Linked DNA regions of Pelodiscus sinensis. The protein of the gene in region 1 binds, or shares a complex with, the protein of each later gene. Links are inferred from orthologs where the notes say so. Each region holds a gene or a part of one and is shown in the gene's direction. Other genes may lie near its edges.

What was found. The genes of interacting proteins can lie anywhere in the genome.
Region 2: STAC3 (region 1) and CACNG1 share a complex: the UniProt entries of both Homo sapiens proteins name them as parts of the calcium channel complex. The link is inferred for Pelodiscus sinensis from reciprocal best matches to the Homo sapiens genes STAC3 and CACNG1.
Region 3: STAC3 (region 1) and CACNB1 share a complex: the UniProt entries of both Homo sapiens proteins name them as parts of the calcium channel complex. The link is inferred for Pelodiscus sinensis from reciprocal best matches to the Homo sapiens genes STAC3 and CACNB1.

What each region holds. Positions count from the first base shown.
Region 1 is NC_134729.1:3,046,698-3,053,782, forward strand, and holds the start of STAC3 (SH3 and cysteine-rich domain-containing protein 3), read left to right. Parts: upstream 1-4,075; 5' UTR 4,076-4,262; intron 4,263-5,513; 5' UTR 5,514-5,514; coding exon 5,515-5,580; intron 5,581-6,408; coding exon 6,409-6,664; intron 6,665-7,037; coding exon 7,038-7,085. Other genes in the region: R3HDM2 (R3H domain-containing protein 2), read left to right, coding at 59-143, 1,644-1,990. UniProt on the Homo sapiens protein: Required for normal excitation-contraction coupling in skeletal muscle and for normal muscle contraction in response to membrane depolarization. Required for normal Ca(2+) release from the sarcplasmic reticulum, which ultimately leads to muscle contraction.
Region 2 is NC_134730.1:21,672,462-21,680,019, reverse strand, and holds the start of CACNG1 (voltage-dependent calcium channel gamma-1 subunit), read left to right. Parts: upstream 1-4,550; 5' UTR 4,551-4,729; coding exon 4,730-4,970; intron 4,971-7,558. UniProt on the Homo sapiens protein: Regulatory subunit of the voltage-gated calcium channel that gives rise to L-type calcium currents in skeletal muscle. Regulates channel inactivation kinetics.
Region 3 is NC_134739.1:12,091,642-12,099,336, forward strand, and holds the start of CACNB1 (voltage-dependent L-type calcium channel subunit beta-1), read left to right. Parts: upstream 1-4,687; 5' UTR 4,688-4,757; coding exon 4,758-4,844; intron 4,845-7,695. UniProt on the Homo sapiens protein: Regulatory subunit of L-type calcium channels. Regulates the activity of L-type calcium channels that contain CACNA1A as pore-forming subunit.

The sequences.
Region 1 (7,085 bases):
TCCCAGCTCCGCAGGGCCGGGGCCTTCTCCGGGTGAGTGTCTGGCTTTGCTCTTCCAGGGCCAGACCGGGATGAAGCACGGAAACCGGAGCAAGAGACAAGCCCTCAAGTCCGCGTCCACCGACCTCGGCACAAGCGACGTAGGCAAGTGGCCACAGGCCTCGGGGGCTGCTCCCGCCCGGCGGCCCAGGCTGGAAATCCCCGATCCTGGCCACGACCCGCTGGGGTCTAGAGCAGAGAGACCCGTGGCCTGCGGAAGTGCTGCCCTTGGAGGGCATCTGCAGTGTCAGCAGAGCCCCCCTGTGCCCTGCCTGCCCCGTGCCGAGCGAAGATACGGCTGCGGCGGGCGGGAGCGTGTGCCGGGACACGCACACTGCCCAGTGCTTAAAGGGAGGGGAAGAATCGACGTGTGGGTTCTATCCCCTCCTCTGGGGGCAGAGGCACCTACTGGCTAAGGCGGCTGGGAGCCAGGACGCCTGGATTCTGTTCCCAGCTCAGGGAGGGCAGGGGAGTCTAGTGGTTAGAGCAGAGCTGTCGCTGGCTTGCTGGGAGCCCTCTGCCCCTCCCTGCTGGATCCCAGCGGCTGCCTCCGCCCGCTGCCCGAGGGCTGGCAGGGGTTGAAGTGCCCATGGGCCTGTAGGGTGGTTGCTCAGTGCCCCCCGGGAGCAGAGTCAGCACTTGCTGACAGGGGGGCCAGGCTGCAAGGCAGATGCCTGCCCCACCCCCAGACAGCTGCAGCAGTGACGCCAGGGCCCCTTTAAACCCCCCGCCCTCCCGCCCCGGGCAGTGGAAACAGAGCAGGGAGGGGCTGGGGATCTGTTACAGGCTGGTTTAATATTAGCTCAGAATTTGGTCTGCTGGGGCCCTGGGACGGCTGCTCACGCTGCCTGGCGCACGGAGCCCCAGCCGCGGCCAGGACAGGCTCCGGGCCCTGACAGCTGCAGCCTGCGGGCGCGGCCCGGGTACCGCCCGGCTCAGCTCCGTTCTCAGCCGGGTCTAACTGAAGCCCTGCGCTGGGCATTGGCTCCCCTGCCCTCTCGGGAGCCGGGTTTGCCCTGAGCCGGAGGGGCTGGGGCTGCCTGGCTGTCCGCAAAGGCCCCGTGCTACAGCCAGGTGCCCCGGCGGAGCCCCAAGTGCTCAGCCCCTCGTGCCCACTTCCCCAGGCTGGCGGGACGCTTCCCCCTCGACAGCCAGCTGGCCTCCTGCGCCTGGAGGGGACTGGCCTGGGGGCGCCAGGGGGCCTTGGGGGCTGATCACTTCCCCCTTGACAGCCAGCTGTCTGCCTGCGCCTGGAGGGGACTGGCCTGGGGGCGCCAGGGGGCCTTGGGGGCTGATCACTTCCCCCTTGACAGCCAGCTGTCTGCCTGCGCCTGGTGGGGACTGGCCTGGGGGCGCCAGGGCCTTGCATTACACAGCCCCTGCTGGGGAAGGGGGTGACCTGGGAGTGCACCAGGACTTCCCGCCTCCCACCCCTGGGACTTGACCAATTCATCCAAGCAGGGACTGAGGGCCCCCTTCCAGAGCCGGGAGTAGAACCCAGGAGTCCTGGCTCCTAGCCCCCTGCTCCAACCGATAGGCGCCACTCCCCTCCCCCATGCTAACCACTAGTCCTCCCAGCCGCTGACCCGGCCTTGTCTCCCGCAGTGCTGGGCCGGGTGCTGGAGGTGACGGACCTGCCGGAGGGCATCACGCGCACGGAGGCCGACAAGCTCTTCACTCAGCTCGCCATGGCCGGGGCCAAGATCCAGTGGCTGAAGGAGACGCGGGGACGGCGCGGCGCCGGGGGCGGCGCCGGCGACAACAACGGCCCGGCGGAGAACGGCCGCCACCCGGACCTCGCTGCCTTGTACACCGTGGTGGCCGTCTTCCCCAGCCCGCTGGCCGCCCAGAACGCCTCGCTGCGCCTCAACAACTCCCTCAGCCGCTTCCGGCTGCGCGTGGCCAAGAGAAGCTACGACCTGCGCGTGCTGGAGCGGGCCAGCTCCCAGTAGGGGCCCCCCCGGCCCCGCCCCCCCGCCCGCCCCGCGCCCGGCCCCTATTTATATGGACACAATGAAGAGATGAGAAATTGATCATTATTTTTTTTTGGAGTGGAAGAACATTTCCTCCCCCCCCCCCCCCCCGGGAACGCGCCCCCACTGCCCCCCCGGACACAGGTTGCGCTGGGTCCAGCGTTGTGCCGCGGCGGGCGCTGCGCTCACTTGCACATGCAGCGGTTGGCAGGGGCTGGTCTCTGTACAGTCTATTTAATCCAGAGGGAGCGGGGGGGTTGGGTTTGTTTTTAAATATAAAAAAAAAAAATCATCTTGTCACTTTCAAGCGGCTTCCCATTTCTGTGCCCAGCGCGAGGGGTTACCGACAGACCCCCCCCCCCCCCGCAGCTCTGGGACTCCTCCCTCCCTCTCTCCCCCCTCCCCGCAGGGCAAGCCCCCCCCACTGTACCCCTCCTGGGGTATCACCAAGGGACGTGCCCCCATCACCAGTGAGCAGGCCAAGCCGCTGCCCTGAATGGCTGTCAGGGTTGTGACCCTCAGCTTGAGAGCCCCTGGGCCCCAGCCTGGCTTCCCTCACTGCGGAAGAGGCACAGGGCCCAGCCTGGGCCTGTGCGGGGCCCGGGCTGGGCAGAACGCTGGGAGCCGAGGTGCACCAGGGAGGTAAGAGCCGTCTGCAGGGGGCGAATCACTCACCTCAGGGCTGGCGCGTGTGGGCAGCAGAGCCGGGAGTGGACCCGGGGCTCAGCAGGACGGGGCGTCCCTTGGAGGGGGCAACCAACTCATCCGAAAGGGGTCACGCCCTTAGGGGTGGGGGCGTCCTCCGTGTGTCTTCGGAGGGGGCGTCTGTGCCAGGCCCCCGCTCTGCTCTGGTCGGGGCACCACACGCCGGTCCCAGCGCGGGGGCTCCGTGCCCGGCCTAAGGATGTTACAGATCACGTCATTGACAAATCGAATAGTCGATGCATTTTGGCATCGACTATTCAATTATTCGAGAGGGCGGCGCCGCCCCTTTGTATGCCACAGCGGCGTTTCGAAGGGGCAGCGCCACACGGAGCAGCTGATCCCGGGCTCCGTGCGGCGCCGCCCCTTTGTATGCCACAGCGGCGTTTCGAAGGGGCAGCGCCACACGGAGCAGCTGATCCCGGGCTCCGTGCGGCGCCGCCCCTTTGTATGCCACAGCGGCGTTTCGAAGGGGCAGCGCCACACGGAGCAGCTGATCCCGGGCTCCGTGCGGCGCCGCCCCTTTGTATGCCACAGCGGCGTTTCGAAGGGGCAGCGCCACACGGAGCAGCTGATCCCGGGCTCCGTGCGGCGCTGCCCCTTTGAAGTCCCCCCCCTTCCTCCCCCTTTGCTACCTCCCTAGCTCCCTGCTGTGATGTGACGTAGCCCAGGCGGGACCCAGTGACCGTGGAGCGCAGCCTGTCCTAGAGCCGTGCCCTGGGCGTTCAGCCCCTGGCTCCCTGTCGGCCGGCACAGAGGCGAGGAGCCGCCGAGCCCCTTGGGAACGGCCCTGGGCGTGTTTGGAGACACGTGTCCTGCTCCCCAAGGGCTCCGGCGCCCGGCGGCGGAGTGGGGCCTGGAGCCTGCCACCCGGCAGCGGCCCCGGTCCCTGAGCACCCGGCGTTCGCCACAGGCAGGGGCACCCGGCGGCAGCAGGGACGGGGTGAGAGCCCCCAGGGACAAGGGCTGGTGGCAGCTCGAGGCCCCTGAGAGCCGCCCCCCATCAGAGCCTGCACAGGGAGGGGCTCCGGCCTGCCCCGCACGCACTGCATTGTGGGTATCGTCTGCAGCCCCAGGGGCTGAGTGCAAGCGAGAGCAGCCCCAAGGCGGCTCAGGCCCTGCGTGGGGGGGGGCGAGCGCCGAGGGGCTCCCCCCAGCCTGCCAGAGCCCCGTGTCTGCAGGGAGCCAAAGGCCGCAGGCTCACCCTGTCCCTGGTGACCGGGCCGTGGGAACCAACCCCCCCCCCCGTCCCACCTGGGGCTGGGCTGGCTGCCTTAGGCCGCGTCCACCGGCCCCACCGGGCAAGCAGCCAGCAGCTCCTGCCGGCCAGGCCGGCTCGTGTGCAAGCTCCGATTTCTCAGCGTCAGCCTCCCCGATGGGGCTCAGCTGTTCGCTCCCCTCTCGCCCTGTCAGTCCGTCTCCAGCCGCGCGCCCCGTGCAGCCCGGTGCTGGCTCGGCCGAGGGGCTCTGAGCCGGGGCCCGTCTCTGTGGGGCACTGAGCGGCTTTCGGGGAGGATTTATCCAGCGGGAGGGAGCCCGAAGCTCAGAGGTGAGTCTTACACACGCGTGTGCACCCACCCGCACTCGCCACACGCGTGTGCACCCACCCGCACTCGCCACACGCGTGTGCACCCACACACCTCTTGCTGGGTTTCTCCTCTGTCCACTGCTGCCCACCTGTCTCAGATGCCCCCTTCCCTTCCACATTGGGGCAAGGGGGCTGGCCAGCAGCCAGGATGCCCAAAGGCTCCCCCTCTCCCCGCCTTTGCTATTACTAGTGGCCTGCCCTTGCTGCCACACACACACACACACACACACACACACCCTGCTGCGACTGGCCCCCCCGCGCACACACCCTCCTGTGACTCCCCCCTCCACACACACACACACCCCCTCCTGTGACTGGCCCCCCCGCGCACACACCCTCCTGCAACCCCCCCACACACACACACCCCCTCCTGCGACTGGCCCTCCCGCGCACACACCCTCCTGCAACCCCCCCCACACACACACACCCTCCTGCGACTGGCCCCCCCGCGCACACACCCTCCTGCAACCCCCCCCCACACACACACCCTCCTGCGACTGGCCCCCCCGCGCACACACCCTCCTGTGACTCCCCCCTCCCCACACACACACACACACACCCTCCTGCAACTGGCCCCCCCCGCGCACACACCCTCCTGCAACCCCCCCCCCACACACACGCCCTCCTGTGACTGGCCCCCCCGCGCACACGCCCTCCTGTGACTGGCCCCCCCGCGCACATACACACACGCCCTCCTGTGACTGCCCCCCTGTGCACACACCCTCTTGCAACTGCCCCCCCTCTCCCCCCACACACACACGCCCTCCTGGGACTGGCCCACACGCGCACAGACCCCCTCCCGCGTCTGACACACACAGCAGGGGTAACACACCCCTGCGAGCTGGGGGGTGAGGGGCTCGTCGGACGCCAGGACTTACGCCAGTGTTCCTGGGCCGGGCGTGCGGGGGGCTGTGGGCGAGGTGCCACCAGGCACAGCAGAAAGGGGGCGACCAGGAGGTTGGGGGCCTGGTGCTGTCTCCTCTTGGGGGTGCCCGGCCCTTGCCAGTCCCCGGGCGGGTTGCTCATCGCACAAGCCTGGCACCATGGGCAGGCCCCAGGACTCCTGTGCCCGTGGATCCCTGAGCAGGGCCCAGCTGGCGCTGCCGTGGGGCAGGGGGTGCGGTGCTCGCTCATCCTGCGGCATTGTCACTTGGCTGCCGGTTAGTGGGGGTGGCTGGGGAGCCCCCGTGACCCCTCTGCTCCCCCTTGCAGCATGACGGAGAAGGAGGCGCTGGCGCCGCCGGCCTCACCCGCACCGGGAGGGAAGCCAGGGAGCGGGGTAAGTGCGCCCACAGGATCGGCCCCGGAGCCTGCCCTGTCCCCCTGCGACGGCTGCCGGATGGGGGGATGTGGCTCCCAGTGGCTGAGACCCCCCCAACGGTTTGAGATTCAGTCTGGGCTCCCCCCGCCCCAGATCGAGGGGCGCTGGCTGGGCCGGGGGTGGCTGGTGGGGCAGCCAGGCTGAGTCCCAGCGCACCCCACGTTCCCAGCCCCAGGCCAGCGCCGGGGCCTTCGATCCGATGAGTTGGGGGTGTCGGGGTTCACTCCCTGCTGGAGCAGGGCCCCACGGGGGTGAGGGGCTGAGCCCTCCCCCAGGCCGGGCAGCGCCAATTCCCTGGGGGGCCGCTGGCCCCTGCCCTTTGCTGGAGGAGGGGTAGGGTGGGGACCGGCTCATCATGCTCCTGGGCTTGGGAGCCCCACTGCTCTGTGCCCCCTGCCGCGCCGCCGCGCCCACCCCCTGCAGGGCTCTGCCCCGGCACTGAGAACTTAGCGAGGGGGTGGAGCCAGCTGGGGGTGCAGACGTGGGCAGCCAAGGCAGCTCTAGCCCCCCCCCAGAGGCCTGGGAGTGCGGAGCCCAGAGGGGCCAGGGCCCCGTCTGGGTTCCTACCACCCTCCTGGGGCAGTGGCCTCCCCACCCCGGCAGTGCCAGCCTGCAGGGCGAACGCCCGGCCCGGTGCCCTGGGGGGGTGGACTCCTGGGCTCTTTGCCCAGTGGCTGCTTCTGACTCCCCACGGAACCCTGGGGCAAGCCCCCGTCCCTGCCCGTGCCTCGGTTTCCCCCGGGGAGGGCTGTGGGTGTCTCCCAGGTGCCCGGTGTCTCCCCCCAGCTCGGGGCGCTGAAGCGGCTGCTGCAGCGGAAGCCCAAGGAGGAGCCGGCGCCCGAGCCGCAGCCCAACGGGGAGCTGGTCAGCCCCACGGGGGGGCCCATCTACTACATCTACGAGGAGGAAGAGGAGGAGGAGGAGGAGGAGCCGGAGCCGCCCCCGGAGCCCCAGAAGCCCGTCAACGACAAGCCCCACAAGTTCAAGGATCATTACTTCAAAAAGCCCAAGTTCTGCGACGTCTGCGCCCGCATGATCGTCCGTGAGTGGGGGGGGGGCAGCGTGGCTGAGGTGTGGGACGGCCCAGGAGCAGGGTCGGGCCCAGGCCGGGACTTGGCCCCCCCGGCACCTTTGCCAGTCCGGGGGGCAGTAACGGGCCCCTGCTGCCTGGCTGGGGGGGGCTGGAGGGGCCTGGCAGAGGCCCCCCCTCATGGAGACATCGGCTCCCAGGGGCTCTGTCACGGGGGGTACCGCCCCGCCTTTGCTGCTCCAAAGGCCCCGTACCAGCCCTGAACCCGGTCCCCATCCAGGCCCCACCCGCACCCCTGAGCTGTGACCCCTGGATGGGGGGGTCTCTAGCCGAGCAGGTTCCAGGGCTGGGACGTTTCATCGATTCTTCCTCCCCTCCCCCCCAGTCAACAACAAATTCGGCCTGCGGTGCAAGAACTGCAAAACCAACATCC
Region 2 (7,558 bases), on another chromosome or scaffold:
TGTAGCCCCAAGAGATTCCCCACAAGGGTTTATTCTAGACCAGTGGTCCCCAACCTTTCAAGGTTGCCGGGCGCCAGGGGGCGGGGCCGTTCGCCCGCCAGGCGCCAGGGGGCGGGGCCGTTCGACCGTTGGGCGCCAGGGGGCGGGGACACTTGCGCCCCGGGGGAGGCCCCCCCCATAGCCACATGCCCGGGGACGGCCCCCCCCATAGCCGCATGCCCGGGGCCGGCGCTCCCCCCGCCATGCGCCGCGCGCCCGGGGCCGGCGCTCCCCCCGCCATGCGCCGCGTGCCCGGGGCCGGCGTTCCCCCCACCATGCGCCCGGGGCCAGGCCAGCCCCGAGCACCTGGCAGGCGCATGGAAATGCCCCTGCGGGCGCCATGGCACCCGCAGGCACCGTGTTGGGGACCACGGTTCTAGACCATTCTAGTAGGGTAGGGTTCCAAACCCTGCTCCTCTCCACACACACAGATTTGCCACAGAATGGAGATCAAGGGCTCCCAGAGAGGCCAGGGTTGTCTGCACAGAGACCCTGGACCCTGGACCCTCATCTTGTTTCCAGGATCTTCTAGTCCAGTGTTTCTCAAACTGTGCTCCGCGGAGCCCCAGGGCATCTCCAGGGGCTCCGCAAGGTTGACAAACTGGACAAACTAGAAACATTGATAAGTACAACACGTACAAGCAGTGGACCGCTGGGGCTCCGCATAAATTTTTACGCATGTAAAGGGCTCCAGAGCTCCAAAAGTTTGAGAACTGCTGTTCTAGTCTCCCTCAGCTCCATAGTAGCCCCATATCTTTGGACATCCCTGCTGGCATCTCCCCCACTTCTGTAGTCCACTGTCATATGATACACAGTAAGTACAAACCAGAGTTGCTACTACAGGCTCCACCTGGATTAAATTAGGTAGAGATTCTCCCTCAGCGTTCTTTGTTGAAAATAGTTTTATGCTACAAAAACATTTGTGGAAAAAATGAAAATATGTGTCCATTTTTTGTGGCAATAACGTGGTGGAGGTGTTGTTCTACAGGTGTTCTTTTTGACAAGGAAAAGTTTTTGTTCCAAAAATACTGGCAAACTCTACTTATCTACCTCCAACAGGATGCTGCAAAGCTTAACTAATATAGAGCATTTGTACCGTGCTTGGAATTTTGCTGTTTGACGGGTGTGACGTAGTGGGGGTACCTGGCTGGTTTCTATGCTGCTGGCTCTGGGGTAACCCCCACTGGCTGCCGTGGGTACCACGACCCAGCAAAACAGGATGAGTCACTATGCAAACCAGTGGCCAGACACCCCCCATGGAGAGGAACAAAGGAAGGTGGAAAGCTGCCCTGGCTGGGGGGCAGGGCGGGAAGAGAGTGAGTGAGTTGCTGGCTGGAAGCATGGAGGAGACAGCCTAGGGAAAGGGACTGGAGTTTAGGGGCCCAGTCTCCCCCATCTCAAGGGGGCCTGAGGCATCCTAGCCCAGCTCTGTGACCAGATTACATCTATGCTGTGCTGTATCCTGGAGAGGCAATAAACTTCCTCTATTACACCGGCTGGTGCAGTCTGTTTGTGCCATTTCGGGGTGCAGGAGACGGGGACCCCCAACGCACCGTCACAACGGGTCCCCAGGGTTCCTTCCCTGCAACATTCCCCCTGCCACCACAATCCCACCAGGCTCTCGGTGGGGCACCAACACTCAGCCAGGCCTCTGCTTTGTGATGTCCAAGCAGTGTTCTCACACCAGTTCAAGTCCTCTGAGGCTCAGCCCTCTGGCTGGGCCCTGGATAATCCACCCTGTCCACAACTGTAAAAAAAATAGAACAAAAGGGAAAGTAACACAAATGAAACATCCCAACTCTGGGTTAAGATTCAGTTTCTTCAGGCTGATTTCTCATCACGCTGTGGCCCTAAATTGAATTTACAGGTGAAAAGAGAGGTAAAGTTCCCTCTCAAGACAAGGAAATACAACAAAGGGATAGAGAATAAGACAGAGAATATCTCATTGCCTTTGTATAACTCCATGCTTCGCCCACATCTTGAATACTGCCTACAGATGTGGTCGCCTCATCTCAAAAAAGATATTTTAGCATTGGAAAAAGTTCAGAAAAGGGCAACAAAAATGATTAGAGGTTTGGAACTGCTGCCATATGAAGAGAGATTAAAAAGACGTGGACTTTTTGTCTTGTTAGAAAAGAGGAGACTAAGGCGGGATATGATGGAGGTCTATAAAATCATGACTGGTGTGGAGAAAGTGAGTAAGGAAAAGTTATTTACTTGTTCCCATAATATAAGAAATTAATAGGTCACAGGTTTAAAACGAACAAAAGGAAGTATTTTTTGATGCAATGCACAGTCAACCTGTGGAACTCCTTGCCAGAGGATGTTGTGAAGACCAGGACTTTAACAGGATTCAAAAATGAACTATATAAATTCATGGAGGATAGGCCCATCAATGCTTATTAGCCAGGATGGGCAGGAATGCTGACTGTAGTCTTTTTTGGCAGAGCCTGGGAATGGGTGACCAGGGAGGGATCACTTGATGGTTATCAGTTCTGCTTATTTCCTCTGGGGCACCTGGCATTGGCCACTGTCAGAAGGCAGGATCCTGCACTAGACAGACCTTTGTTCTGATCCAGTATGGCCCTTTGTATGTTCTTATTCTTATGTAACATCTAGCTAACTGGCTGGCCAGCTCACCCAGTTATCAGAGGAGTTTCTGTCTTCTCCTGGCCCTCTCTTCAGGAGCAGAGGGCTGAAGGTCTGCTCTCTTCCATGGACTGCCCTCACCTGAGCTGTGTTTCTCCCTTTGAAGCTCCTCCATCCAATTCTGACACCTCTCAGATGTGAGGGAGCAGGCCACCTGAAACCATATTAGCTCATTCACCTGTGCTGCCCGGGATGGGGTTGTATACCCCATCACAGAGGGGAAAGTACCATAATGGCCAGCTATAGCTTTAGGACAGTGATGTGTTTAAGACCAAATCATTCTGCTTTTCTAGGCTCGTTCTACTTCTCTTCTCTGCAAGAAGCCAACTGTGGCTCTTTACTCTATTTTCAAGACCACAACCAAGGCCGGCTAAAAACCTACCACACACGCGCACTGGTAGAAGACAAAGCGCGATGCGACAGAGCGGAGCACAAGGGCCAGGTACCGCCCCACCTCCATGAAACAAGCATTGATGGCCTGCTGACAAACCCGGCTTCAGTCACCTATTTGCCAGATATGCACAGCAGCATACCAGCAGCTACTGAGCCGGTCACACGCTAGCTCTTTTAGTTACGGTCCTTTGGGAGGCGAGCCTGGAAAAAGAGAAAAACTGTTGGGCTGTGGAAAATGCTTTTCCCCTCAGCGTTGTATTTAATTTGTATCCTTCCCCACTCCAGCCCTAAGTAGGCGCTTGCTGACGGGTGAAGAGATTCTCTTTCAGTGGTGCTGCAGACATTCCTTGGTCAGACTCGTGGCTGATTGTTAATTTTGGCTGATGAATACCTAAACCAAGTGTTCACAGATAGCATGAAAGGTTTTCAGTAGTCCTGGTCTGTAGATAGTGGGCACCGTGGTTCCATGGCCCTGGGGTATAGACAGGTGGGATTCATAGGTGGGTTAAAAGGAAGTATTTCTTCATGCAATACACAGTCAACCTGTGGAACTCCTTGCCAGAGGATGTTGTGAAGATCAGGACTTTACCAGAGTTCAAAAAAGAGCTAGATAAATTCATGGACGTTAGGTCCATCAATGGCTATTAGCCAGGATGGGTAGGAATGGCGTCCCTAGCCTCTGTTTGTCTGGAGCTGAAAATAGATGACAGAGCAGAGATTACTTGATGATTCCCTGTTCTGTTCAATCCTTCTGGGGGCACCTGGCATTGGCCACTGTTGGCTGACAGGATACTGGGCTAGATGGACCTTTGGTCTGACCCAGTATGGCCATTCGTATGTTGTCATGGGATTAAACCTAGGACTTTAGGTGCTAAAGTCATGAGCTTCTACCTCACGATCTAAAAGCCAACCGACTTGTAGCTAAAGCTGCAGTGTAGACTTCATTCTCTCTCTCACTGGTCTCAGTGCCACTGAATTATGTGTAGTAAAAACGAGGCTGAACCACAAAATTCTATTCTGAAATCAGAGACAATTCCAGTTCCACCAAAGTTTGGTGTGTTTGGGCCCCTGAAACACTCCAGCCTCGGGGTGTAGGGGAGGGTATCGTTAGAACCAATAATGGATTCTGTGGAAGAAAAGTGGGTTCACCCCCATCTTTATCACAAAGAAAAATGCTTTTACGTTCTAAAAAAGTTTGCACCGGTCTCTGTTCCCAGCCATGCCTTGAGTGAGAAGGGAATGGTCTCATGGCTGTGGATATTAATTACACGGAGCTAGCTTTGCTCTCAGTTGGCTTATGGAACTTGCTGCACAAACCCAGCAGGGACAAGCTTGTAACTGGAGCTCCCGCAGTTACTTTATTCATTAGGTGCATTAATAGAAGCCCCACTCACAAGTCTAGTCACCCTGTCTCCTGATATATTTCAACAGCTGTACATGTGGCCAGCTGTCCAAGCCAGCCCACAACCTGCTCTACTTTTGCAACACACGGATGACATTTGGAATCTATTTGGAAATGCTTAGACACGCCAAGACTTTGGAAGACCACTTGAATAACTTGCAGCTCTCCTTCAAGTAGACAAACAAAACTCGACAGGGCAGTAATCACCGAAAGAGTCTGCCCTATGCGCTCCGGTGCACCCTAGCCATGGACGAAGGCAAAGCACTGAAAATTCGGGTGACTTTCTCTGTTATTTTGGTTGGCGTCTCTTTAATGTTTGCAGCTGTGGTGACTGATCACTGGGCAGTGCTAAGCCATAAAGTGGAGCATTACAATTCCACCTGTGAGGCTGCTCACTTCGGGCTATGGCGGCTCTGCACAAAGCAGTTTTACATCCAAGAACAAGTTACCAAGGAGAGGAGCTGTGGGAAGATAACTCTGACAGGAGGTAGGTGCTTGCATTCATTCCGCATCCACCCCAAAAATGCATGGGAGAAAATGTCAGGCTATTCTTAGTGACGTCTTTTAGGAAGAGAAAAAACATGCTGGAAAAAATGTGATTCTTGCTCCCACTGCACTTGATCTTACAAGATTCAACACGTCAATTTAGTTTTCATATTAGCCTGAAAATACACCTCATTGTCACATTTCGTTGAGGCCTTATCTTAAATGCATGATGCACTTCCACAGTATAGATCTGTGAGCATATTTAGCACACTGCTCTTCAGCTGTTTCCATACAGCACAGAAAGCAGCTGGCATAAAGGGGGCCAGATAGGAGAAGGCAAAAGGCACAGAGAGAAATCAGAAAGAAGGATATTTTCCCACTGATGTTTTTGCTGATATCAACAACCTTGCAAAAGCTATGCTAGGCCTTATAAAGGCCAAACTTCCATTGAGTCCACAGGGAGTTTTGCCTGTGTGGGGATTACGGGGTGGGAATGATATCTGGTTCATTATAAAATGTTTGTAGTTCAGAGCAATATGCCAGAACCTCTTGTTTTTGAAAGTTATTTCAAAGTTATTTAATACTCTTCAGTATTACTTAGGGCAGTGTGGAACTGCATGCAATGGCATAGTTCTCCAAATGCCAAAAAATGCTGTAATTAAGTGAGAAATAATCTATCACTGGCTTATTAGGGCCTCCTTAAATTTCACAGAGTGGCAGAAAGCAAAGGTGCTCTGTGTTTGTGAAGAAAGAAGTCTATTCAGACCCTTTTCTTCATACGGAGTAGTCAGAGATCCTGAAAATAGTCCCATTAAAATCAACGGGAAGCATGGTAGCCTGGCGCCCCTCGCTAGTTTCCTGGAAAGGTATTACATTAGCATGATTTGCAAGTAGTTGTATTACATTTTTGCGGATTGCAAAGTCTGCTGCATTCATGCAACCTGTGCTAATACTCTTTTCCTGACTTTTCCAATTTCAAGAGGCTAATACCAACTTGGATTATTTCCTAGACAGAAATCCCCCTAAATAACAGGATTTCCTTTTGATTAGCACCCCGGGTTGAAGGTACAATTAGATTTTAATATATTTGTAAGATGACTATGAAATCATATAGTGATAATCCTCAACCTGACTAAACTATTTATTATCAGACAGAAGAGGCTGATCCATAGCATTCAGATCCGAGTTCCAATCTGGCATTCCCCCATGTTTGGGGGTGTTTTAATCTGGAGGTTTGCCTTAGTCCCATTTCTGGTTGATATAATAAATACATTTTAATATAGCTAATGACCTTATCAATATCATTTTCTGTGCACATGTAGGAAGCTTTATGTTTAAGGGGAGACAGATTGGGAGAAACACATAAATACCGCGCTTTATTGAATAAATTTATAACTCGTAAATATCCTGCTGGCTCAGTAAAACAGCTTCATCATCTATCCAGCAGAAAAGTGTTAGATAGTTTTGACAGACACCAGCATATGCTTGCATGGACATCTCCCAGCTGAGCTACCCATGCCCTCTGTATTGGCTTCTTAAAGTGCCGAGTAAACAAATAGGTAATTATGGAGCTGAAGGCCTCTCTGCAGAACAGCTTTGACTGAAACAGAGATGACCTTTCATTACGGGAGAGGTGGGCATACTTTTAAAGGGCTTGGCAGATACTCCTGGGATTCAATGGAATTCAGCTTCAAAATCATTATATGCAATAATACTGAATTCTTTCATGCATGTCATCTGAAGTTCTAACAGAGTCCTTTACAACACACTCTACTGTTAGGTACGTGCTATCATCCTCATTTTTACATTAGGGAAACTGAAGCACAAGAAGGGTCCAAGGTTGGCCAGAGGCCAGCCATGCAAAGCATCTATGATAGCACTTGGAAAAGAACTCAGATGTCTTGGCTTTCAGTATTCAACTCTAGCTGCTAGACTACGCAGCTCCAGAAATGGCACTCCTAGTTGTGATGATTCCATATGGCTGAGGAGAAATGCCAGCTGAAGTTGTCAGACTTGGACTACACAAGAAAGAGGAGGGAAACAAAGTTGGAGTAGCTGACCGGTGTGTCAGTAAACCTGTTTTTCTGAAAATCATACGTAGTCACCAGGATTTGAAAAAGTATCATTATTTACTACTGGGTTAATAGTTACCTACCTAGTACTACTCGGGTGGAATAACTAGTATTGCTTCTGTTGTTTATTACTTATTAATCTTAGTGCTGTACTAAATATAGGATACGATTCTGGCCATGTCTTCACTACACGGAAGATCAATGTTGCCACGATCGATCTTCCAGATTGTGATTTAGTGGGTCTAATAAAGACCTGTTAAATCAAACTCGGAAGGTGCTGGTACTGCTGCTCTTTGTGAGATGTTAGGGAAGCTGATGGGAGTGTTTCTCCATCAACCTTTCACTGTGAAGACTGCACAGAAACTCAAATTAAGGTATGTTGACTACAGCTGCATAATTAACAAAGCTGGAGTTGCATATCTTAATTCGACCTTCCCCATTAGCCTACAACTGGCCTTAGAACTTGTGGTCTTATGGTTTAAGGCAGAGAGATTTACAGTTTAACCACACGTTTAAA
Region 3 (7,695 bases), on another chromosome or scaffold:
GGAGTGGCCCTGAACCCTCAGAAAAGGCCATCTCCCTTGGCCTAGCTGGGAAGAGGGGATACACAGGGGTTTCTCTAAACAGCATCCTTCTCCCCAAATCTCCCAGCCCCTGCTGGTCTGGAGTAGGGATGGAAAATCCCCACTAATCAGTTAACCGGTTAAACGTTCGGTTAACCCAATGTTTAACTGGTTAACCTAACTACGCGGGATCTTGGTCCTGGTCCCAGAGTGGTTGCCGCTGGCAACAGGGGTGCTGCTGCTGCTGATGGCAGACTGTAGGTGGGGGGCTGTGGCCGAGTACCAATTGCCCATTTCCATCCCTAGTCTGAAGAGGTCATTTCAAATCGGGCCTGGCATCCCCCTGTCAGGAGCGGGAGACGGGCGGGAGTCACATCTGGATCAGGGAACCGCCCCAAAGTTGGGATCCTCTGCAGGGAGGAAACCTACTTCACTCCTGACTGGAACCGGGAACCGGCTTGTATTGACTCAGAGCTGGGTTTGAGTTTGGGATGAAGAGGCAGGGGCAGTTTGAATGTCGCTGGGACGCTCTGGGGGTAGAAGTAATTTTATTTACTATGGAAAAAACTGCAGATTCAAAGGTGAACAGGTAAGAGAAAGCAAACGCGGACCCGTCACACGGAATTGAAATGGAAAGACGCAACCTCTGGCTTTACGCTTGTTTATTAGACAAATCCCCTTTTCTATTCCCTCCGAACAGTTTCCCAGCACACCTGTCCTAGGGAGAATCCAGGGTTTCACGGACAGGCTGCCCTCAGTTTCTGGGAAAAAACCTTCATGCAAAGGCTGCGTCTACCTTGGCACTTCACAGTGCTGCATCTTTCTGGCTCAGGAGTGTGAAAAAACAACCCCCCGCCAAGTGCAGAAGTTACAGCGCTGTAAAGTGCCAATGGGAACCAGGCTACAGTGCTGTTTGCTACTCTCCTCATGGATGTGGTTTACATAGAGCGCTGGCCTGGGAGAGCTCTGTATCAGAGGCAGCAGCGCAAGGTGCCAGGAGGGAGCCGGTCCGTGAGGGGAGCCAGTTTAAAAACCAACTCCCCAAGCAGACCAGCTGCCTGCCTGCCACCCCATGCTGCTGCCTCTGATACAGAGGCAGCAGTGCAGGGTGGCAGTAGCCCCGTCCGTGGGGGGGTCTGAGCTGTCCGAGGATAGAGGCTGTTCCGTGCGATGCCTCCCCTGCTCCTGTGCAGCCTCTCCTGCCCCCCCATGCTGGGGGGCTGGCGGCATGGCAGAACCGGTGCTGGGAGGAATCTACCTTTTAAGGTGGCTCCCTGCAGCACCGGCTCCTGCCCCATCCCACTTGCTGCCTCTGATACAGAGGCAGCAAGGCTGGGCGGGATGCAAGTAGTTGAGAAGATTAACCGATAAGCCTAGTCTTACCGGTTAATCGTATACTCGACTACTTGTTTACATCCATAGCTTAAAGCTGCTGCGCTTGAAACTTTTAGGTGTAGAGAAAGCCTCTGATGCAACATAAGCCTGCTAGTAAAAGGCTTCCCCCCTTCCCCTTCTTTCTGGCCTGGTGACTCATTGGTGTGTGTGTGGGAATTCCCAGCTGTCTCCTTGTCTTTCCATTAACTCTAGTGGTCCCAGCATTGTCTTTTCCCAGCTGAAGGATGGACGAGTCGCTGAAGTTGGTTCCGTGGAAACAGCTGGCCTGGTGCACCTCCCTGCCTTATATGCCAGGTGATGTTGTAGTTTACAATTACAACTTTCACATGCGTGTATGCCCTGCGTGCAGATCTCCTAATGCCCAGCAAGTTCAGAACATCACCAACTTTCCTTAGAGGCCTTACTTGACATACTCTTCTGCACTCACATTGTGTACAATTGGTTGATTCAATTGCTTAGTCTTTTGGGGTTCAAAAGACCCCCTCTTTGCTTCTTTGGGGTCCGGACTTGTATAGTCCCAGTCATCTGAGCTGTATCCCCACCCTCTGAAATGGGGGCGGAGAGGGGGGGATGCTAGAGCCTAACAGGGGGGCTGGAGTCTACACCTGGTTCTGCCACCGATTAGCTGCGTGACCTTGGGCAAGTCATTCTCTCCATGCCTGGTTTCTCCGGTGGAGGTGAAATGGGATTCAGTGCTGGTTTCTGCAGTCACGCCTCAGCCCGCCCGTGATGGATGGGTTCTAATAATGGAAAAGCTCTCCTGCTTCGCCTGCCCTGGTGCTTGGATAGTTTGTCTCCCAGCTGCGCAGGCCGGGGCTGGAGCCAGCTCTCCGGAGTGAATCCACCGCACCCCGCTGCACCCCCTTGGGACTGGCCCCCAGTCTCTGCGAGGTGAAGGGGTGGTCATGGGGCTGCTGTCATGCTCCAGTGGGGTGAGGGCACTTCCCTACGCTCAGGATCCCTGCCAAAGCGAGCTGTGGCCTAGCGGGTGGCGAGACAAGGGAGGGAGGTGGGGAAACACAGAGCCAAGCCCCCCCAATTCTTTCCTACTTAGCCACAGACCCCCACCAGCCACGTGAATTCTCTCCCCCTGTCGCCTGTCATGGGGCTTCCTCTGTACTGGGGTGTAGAGCGTACAGCAGGGCTGGGGAACTTTTTTTAGGTCGGGGGCTGCACACAAGTGGGAAGCAAAACCAAACCAAAACAAGAAACCCCTCACTGACATAGCCCCCAGTGGAGGAGACAGACCCACCCCCCATTCCCCTCACACACCAGAGCCTAGGGCGGCCCGGCCTAGTAGATTTTGTGGTTCCAGCCCCATGGTGGGGCAGCAGTGGGGCTGGAGTGCCAGCGCAGGCTACCCAGTACTGGGAGAGGCCCCTGAGCCTCGGCCCCCGGGTCTGAGGTTCCCCACCCCTGGAGTACAGCATATGGGCTGGCCACAGCCCACTCACTTATCAACCCCTCCCCCCCATCCCAGCTCTGGTCCTGCCCCATCGCTGGCCCTGCTCAGCCCGTCCAGCATCCTGCCAGGGTTGGGGTGCGGTGGCTTGCCCCTCTCCTGGGGGTGGGGTGCAGGGCTTGTCCTGCTCCACCCGCCCAGTGGTCTCCTTGGGGAGCAGAATTGGGTCATGAGGGCTTGCAAGGCCCCGACCCCCACGCCTCAGCTGGAGCCCCGAAGTGGGCGGAGAAGGACCAGCGTCCCTGCCCTGTCCCCCATGCCCTGGCAGGAGTACCGGGCAGATGGAGGGGGTAAGTCCCTGACTCCATTCCTCAGCTGGGTTGCTGGGTGGGAGGGGCAGCACGGGGGGGGGGGAGGGGAGTGCACTTTTCTTCAGCCCCCTCATTTACTCCAGGGTCTTGGCCACAGCATCAGTTGCTTCCCAGGTGGCTGGTGGGGGAAGAAGTGGCCCCAATGACTCCTTTCCCCTCCCTCCTTCTCACCCTAAATTGGAGCTCATCCAAGTGCCCTAGTCTACCTGACGTGGGGGGCATGTGGGGGGCTTTGAGGATCATCAGGGCCTGTTGGGAGCCCCCAGGGGGTGTTGGGGCAGGTGGGTTCTGCTAGGAAGTCTCTGGTAGGGGACAGGTTCCTGGCAAAGGGTGGTGGGGGCGAATGAAAGGAGGTGGCAGGGCACAGGGGGAGAGAGGTGGGTGGGTTACCAGCTACCGACCTGCAGCAGAGCTCTGGGACCCAGGCCAGCTGTCACTGCACAATAAGGCCAGCTAAGCAATACAGCCGCTCACCGGCCAGCATGCTCTCATGGCAGGGGCTCTGGGAGGCTGAGATCTGTTCCCAACCAAGCTCCCCCCTCTCCCATCCCAGCAGTATTGCCCCCCCACACGGCCGCATTGAGCCTGTGCCTGGCAGGAAGGGAGGGGAACCGGTCCAGCTGGGGGTCCCCATCCTGGGACTCAGAAATCTCTCTCAAGGTTACCACCTGCTGGGCGGAGGTCGGGACTGAGGGGTGCTGGCAGACGGGGGGAGGGAAAGAAGGGGGGACAGTGTGTGTGGAGGGAGCCCAGGGATGGGATGGGGGGAGCTGTGCGTGGAATCCAACTTACCAGGCGGGTAGCAGGTTACCGGGCGGGTAGCAGGTTAGCGCTGAGAGCCAACCCAGCGCCACGCCAACCCGGGACCCCCCAATAAAACAGGTCTGGGGGCTGAGTATCCCCGCAACCCCCCACAGCCAGTTGCAGGGAGGCGGGATCCAGCTTTTGGTGGGCTGGAGCAGTGGCCTGGGGGGCGGGCTTGAAAAGAGTGGCAGTAAAATACCCAGGGCCAGCTCTCTGCAGGATCTGAGGGGGGGCAGCAGTGCCCCCCATGGTCCCTGGGCAGGGGGGAGCGGACCCATCACTGGAGCCCTGCGCCCAGCCATGGCCGTGGGTTTGGGGGGGGGCTCTGTGGGGAGTAGGGAGGCATGAGCCCCCCCCTTCGGGAATCCCCATGACGGGGGACATCTCCTGACATCTGCCCCCCCCACTTAGCGCTGCTGGCAGCCAGGCCCCTCGGTAGGGGGGGAGGATCGGGGGGGGGGGGAGTTCCAAAGCCGGAGGGGGGGGTCTTTGCCTGCTTGCAGACCCCCCCACATCGCTCTGTGGGGGGGGGGGGGCGCTCGGACCACACCCCGCCCCCTCCGGGCCGGCGAGCCCCGGGGCTCGCCCCCGCCTCTCGCCACCCCCCTCCCTCCCTCCCCCGCCTGCCTGCGCATTGTGTGGCCGCCGGGAGGGGCCGGGCGGCTGCCGCCCCCACACGCCCCCGCCCCCGCCCCGGGCTCCTCCTCTGCCGGGGCTGGCTTGGGACACGAGTCCGGGGCGAGCCAGGCCGAGCCGCCGCGAGCTCCATGGTGCGGGAGGGCGGCATGGCCCGGACACCCCGCAGCTCCACCCAGGAGATCCAGATGGACGTGTTCGAGCACCCCGGCCTGCAGGTGGGTCCCCCCCCCCCCGGAGGGGGGCTGCAGCCAGAAATACCGGGGGGATGGACCGGACCGGATCGGAACCGGCCCATGACCCGCTGCCCTTTGCTTTTCCGAGGGGGTTGCTGGAAAGTGCAGGGGGGCTGAGACGGGCTCGAACCGATGCGGGGGGATCGGAGGCAGGTTCGCAGCCTGGCAGCTTTCTGCCCCCGCCCTTCTCGCTGCTCTCGCCGGGTTCCAGCTCAGCTGAAACCCCCCCCCCCCTTGGCACCCACCAGGCAAAGCGGGGGCCCCACGTGCCCCCCATCCTGTGCCCAGAGGTCACCAGGGAGGTGAGCAAGGGGGTGGGTGGGTCCTAGGGGTGGAAGCGGGTGGTCTTGCGGGGGACCTAGCTGCCCTTGTTTGCTGTGTCACCGTGGTCTCCCCGTCTGGAAAATGTGGGTCACAATGCTGAAGGGTCTGTGAGACTGGGCCAGTCCTGGCCCGGAGGGGCCCCCGGGGTGCCACTATGCCTCCTCTGGGGCTCGCGCCGGGAAACTTTGGAGCAGACGGGGTAATTTGGTAGATCCAATCCAGAGGCACCACGCCTCTTTATTTCCCCTTCTGCTTGCTAGTGGATACTAAAGGGGTACTTCACCCCTGCTGGAAACCCGCTGTGGGGTTTGGTGTAGCACTGCCCGATGGAGGAGGAGGTGGGGATACCAGCACAGATACATTGTTGTGATGTCGCCTGCTGGGGATACCAGTATCTGGTTGGGATACCAGTGCCTGCTGGGGATACCAGTATCTGGTTGGGATACCAGTGCCTGCTGGGGGTACCAGTATCTGGTTGGGATACCAGTGCCTGCTGGGGGTACCAGTATCTGGTTGGGATACCAGTGCCTGCTGGGGGTACCAGTATCTGGTTGGGATACCAGTGCCTGCTGGGGGTACCAGTATCTGGTTGGGATACCAGTGCCTGCTGGGGGTACCAGTATCTGGTTGGGATACCAGTGCCTGCTGGGGATACCAGTATCTGGTTGGGATACCAGTGCCTGCTGGGGTACCAGTATCTGGTTGGGATACCAGTGCCTGCTGGGGATACCAGTATCTGGTTGGGATACCAGTATCTGGTTGGGATACCAGTGCCTGCTGGGGGTACCAGTATCTGGTTGGGATACCAGTGCCTGCCGGGGATACCAGTATCTGGTTGGGATACCAGTGCCTGCCGGGGGTACCAGTATCTGGTTGGGATACCAGTGCCTGCTGGGGATACCAGTATCTGGTTGGGATACCAGTGCCTGCTGGGGATACCAGTATCTGGTTGGGATACCAGTGCCTGCTGGGGGTACCAGTATCTGGTTGGGATACCAGTGCCTGCTGGGGGTACCAGTATCTGGTTGGGATACCAGTGCCTGCTGGGGGTACCAGTATCTGGTTGGGATACCAGTGCCTGCCGGGGATACCAGTATCTGGTTGGGATACCAGTGCCTGCCGGGGGTACCAGTATCTGGTTGGGATACCAGTGCCTGCTGGGGATACCAGTATCTGGTTGGGATACCAGTGCCTGCTGGGGATACCAGTATCTGGTTGGGATACCAGTGCCTGCTGGGGATACCAGTATCTGGTTGGGATACCAGTGCCTGCTGGGGTACCAGTATCTGGTTGGGATACCAGTGCCTGCTGGGGGTACCAGTATCTGGTTGGGATACCAGTGCCTGCCGGGGGTACCAGTATCTGGTTGGGATACCAGTGCCTGCCGGGGGTACCAGTATCTGGTTGGGATACCAGTGCCTGCTGGGGGTACCAGTATCTGGTTGGGATACCAGTGCCTGCTGGGGGTACCAGTATCTGGTTGGGATACCAGTGCCTGCCGGGGGTACCAGTATCTGGTTGGGATACCAGTGCCTGCTGGGGGTACCAGTATCTGGTTGGGATACCAGTATCTGGTTGGGATACCAGTGCCTGCCGGGGGTACCAGTCGCTGGTTGGATCTGTTGCTCAGGGCTACTTAGCAGGGTGGAGAAGGGGAAGGGTTACCCATGTCTGGATGGACCACAGGGCTGGGAAACACAAACCCAGCCTCCACCAGCTTAGGACATGGCTCCGGTTAACCCTTCCCCACCTGGAGGGCCACCAGTCAAGAGCTTAACTTGTGCCAGGGCTGAGCCTCGGCCTCTCTAGGCTTGGCGGTTCGTAGCTCCAAGGCCTCTGGGCTTGCAGGGTTCATTGTGAATGTAAAAAACAGGCTTGCAGCTATTTCGTTACAGACGAAACCCTGCACCAGCCCCCTGGATGGGGAATCCCAGCCACCCACCGCGGGTGCAGGGAATGTGACTGATGGATGGACCCTGATTGGAGCGATGGGGGTGGGGAGGAATCCTAAAAATACCAACTCCTGCCCTGCGCAGGGACCACGTGTCTGTGGGCTGGGCAGCAACTGGGCCCAGCTGTCCCTCTGAGATGGCTCATTCCGAGACCTGCCCCAACACGTCCCGGCTGCTTGTCCTGTGCAGAAAGGCCTCGCGCTCACTGGGAGTTTCAGGAGGAACCAGCTGGGAAGGGACTGACGTCCCAGGGCGAGGACGGGGAGGGGGAGCAGGATTGGGCCCTCTGAGACAGCTGCGGAGGGGTCCAGCCACAATTCTGCAGGGAGGGCTGGCTGCGGGTGGGGTGGAAATCTTGCCAGCCCCAGCCTCCCCCAGCAGGAGGCGCTGTAGAGGATGGGGCAAGCGCGCTGGCTGTGGGACAGCTCTCAGCTGCTGGCTCCTTCTAAGTCTGTGCCACCAGCTGGGTATTTGGAGCATTTGCCAGGCGCTGTTGGTCAGGGGATGACTCAGTGGCAGCAGGTGTGTTCGCTGGCTCCCTACGCGTGTGCATTTGC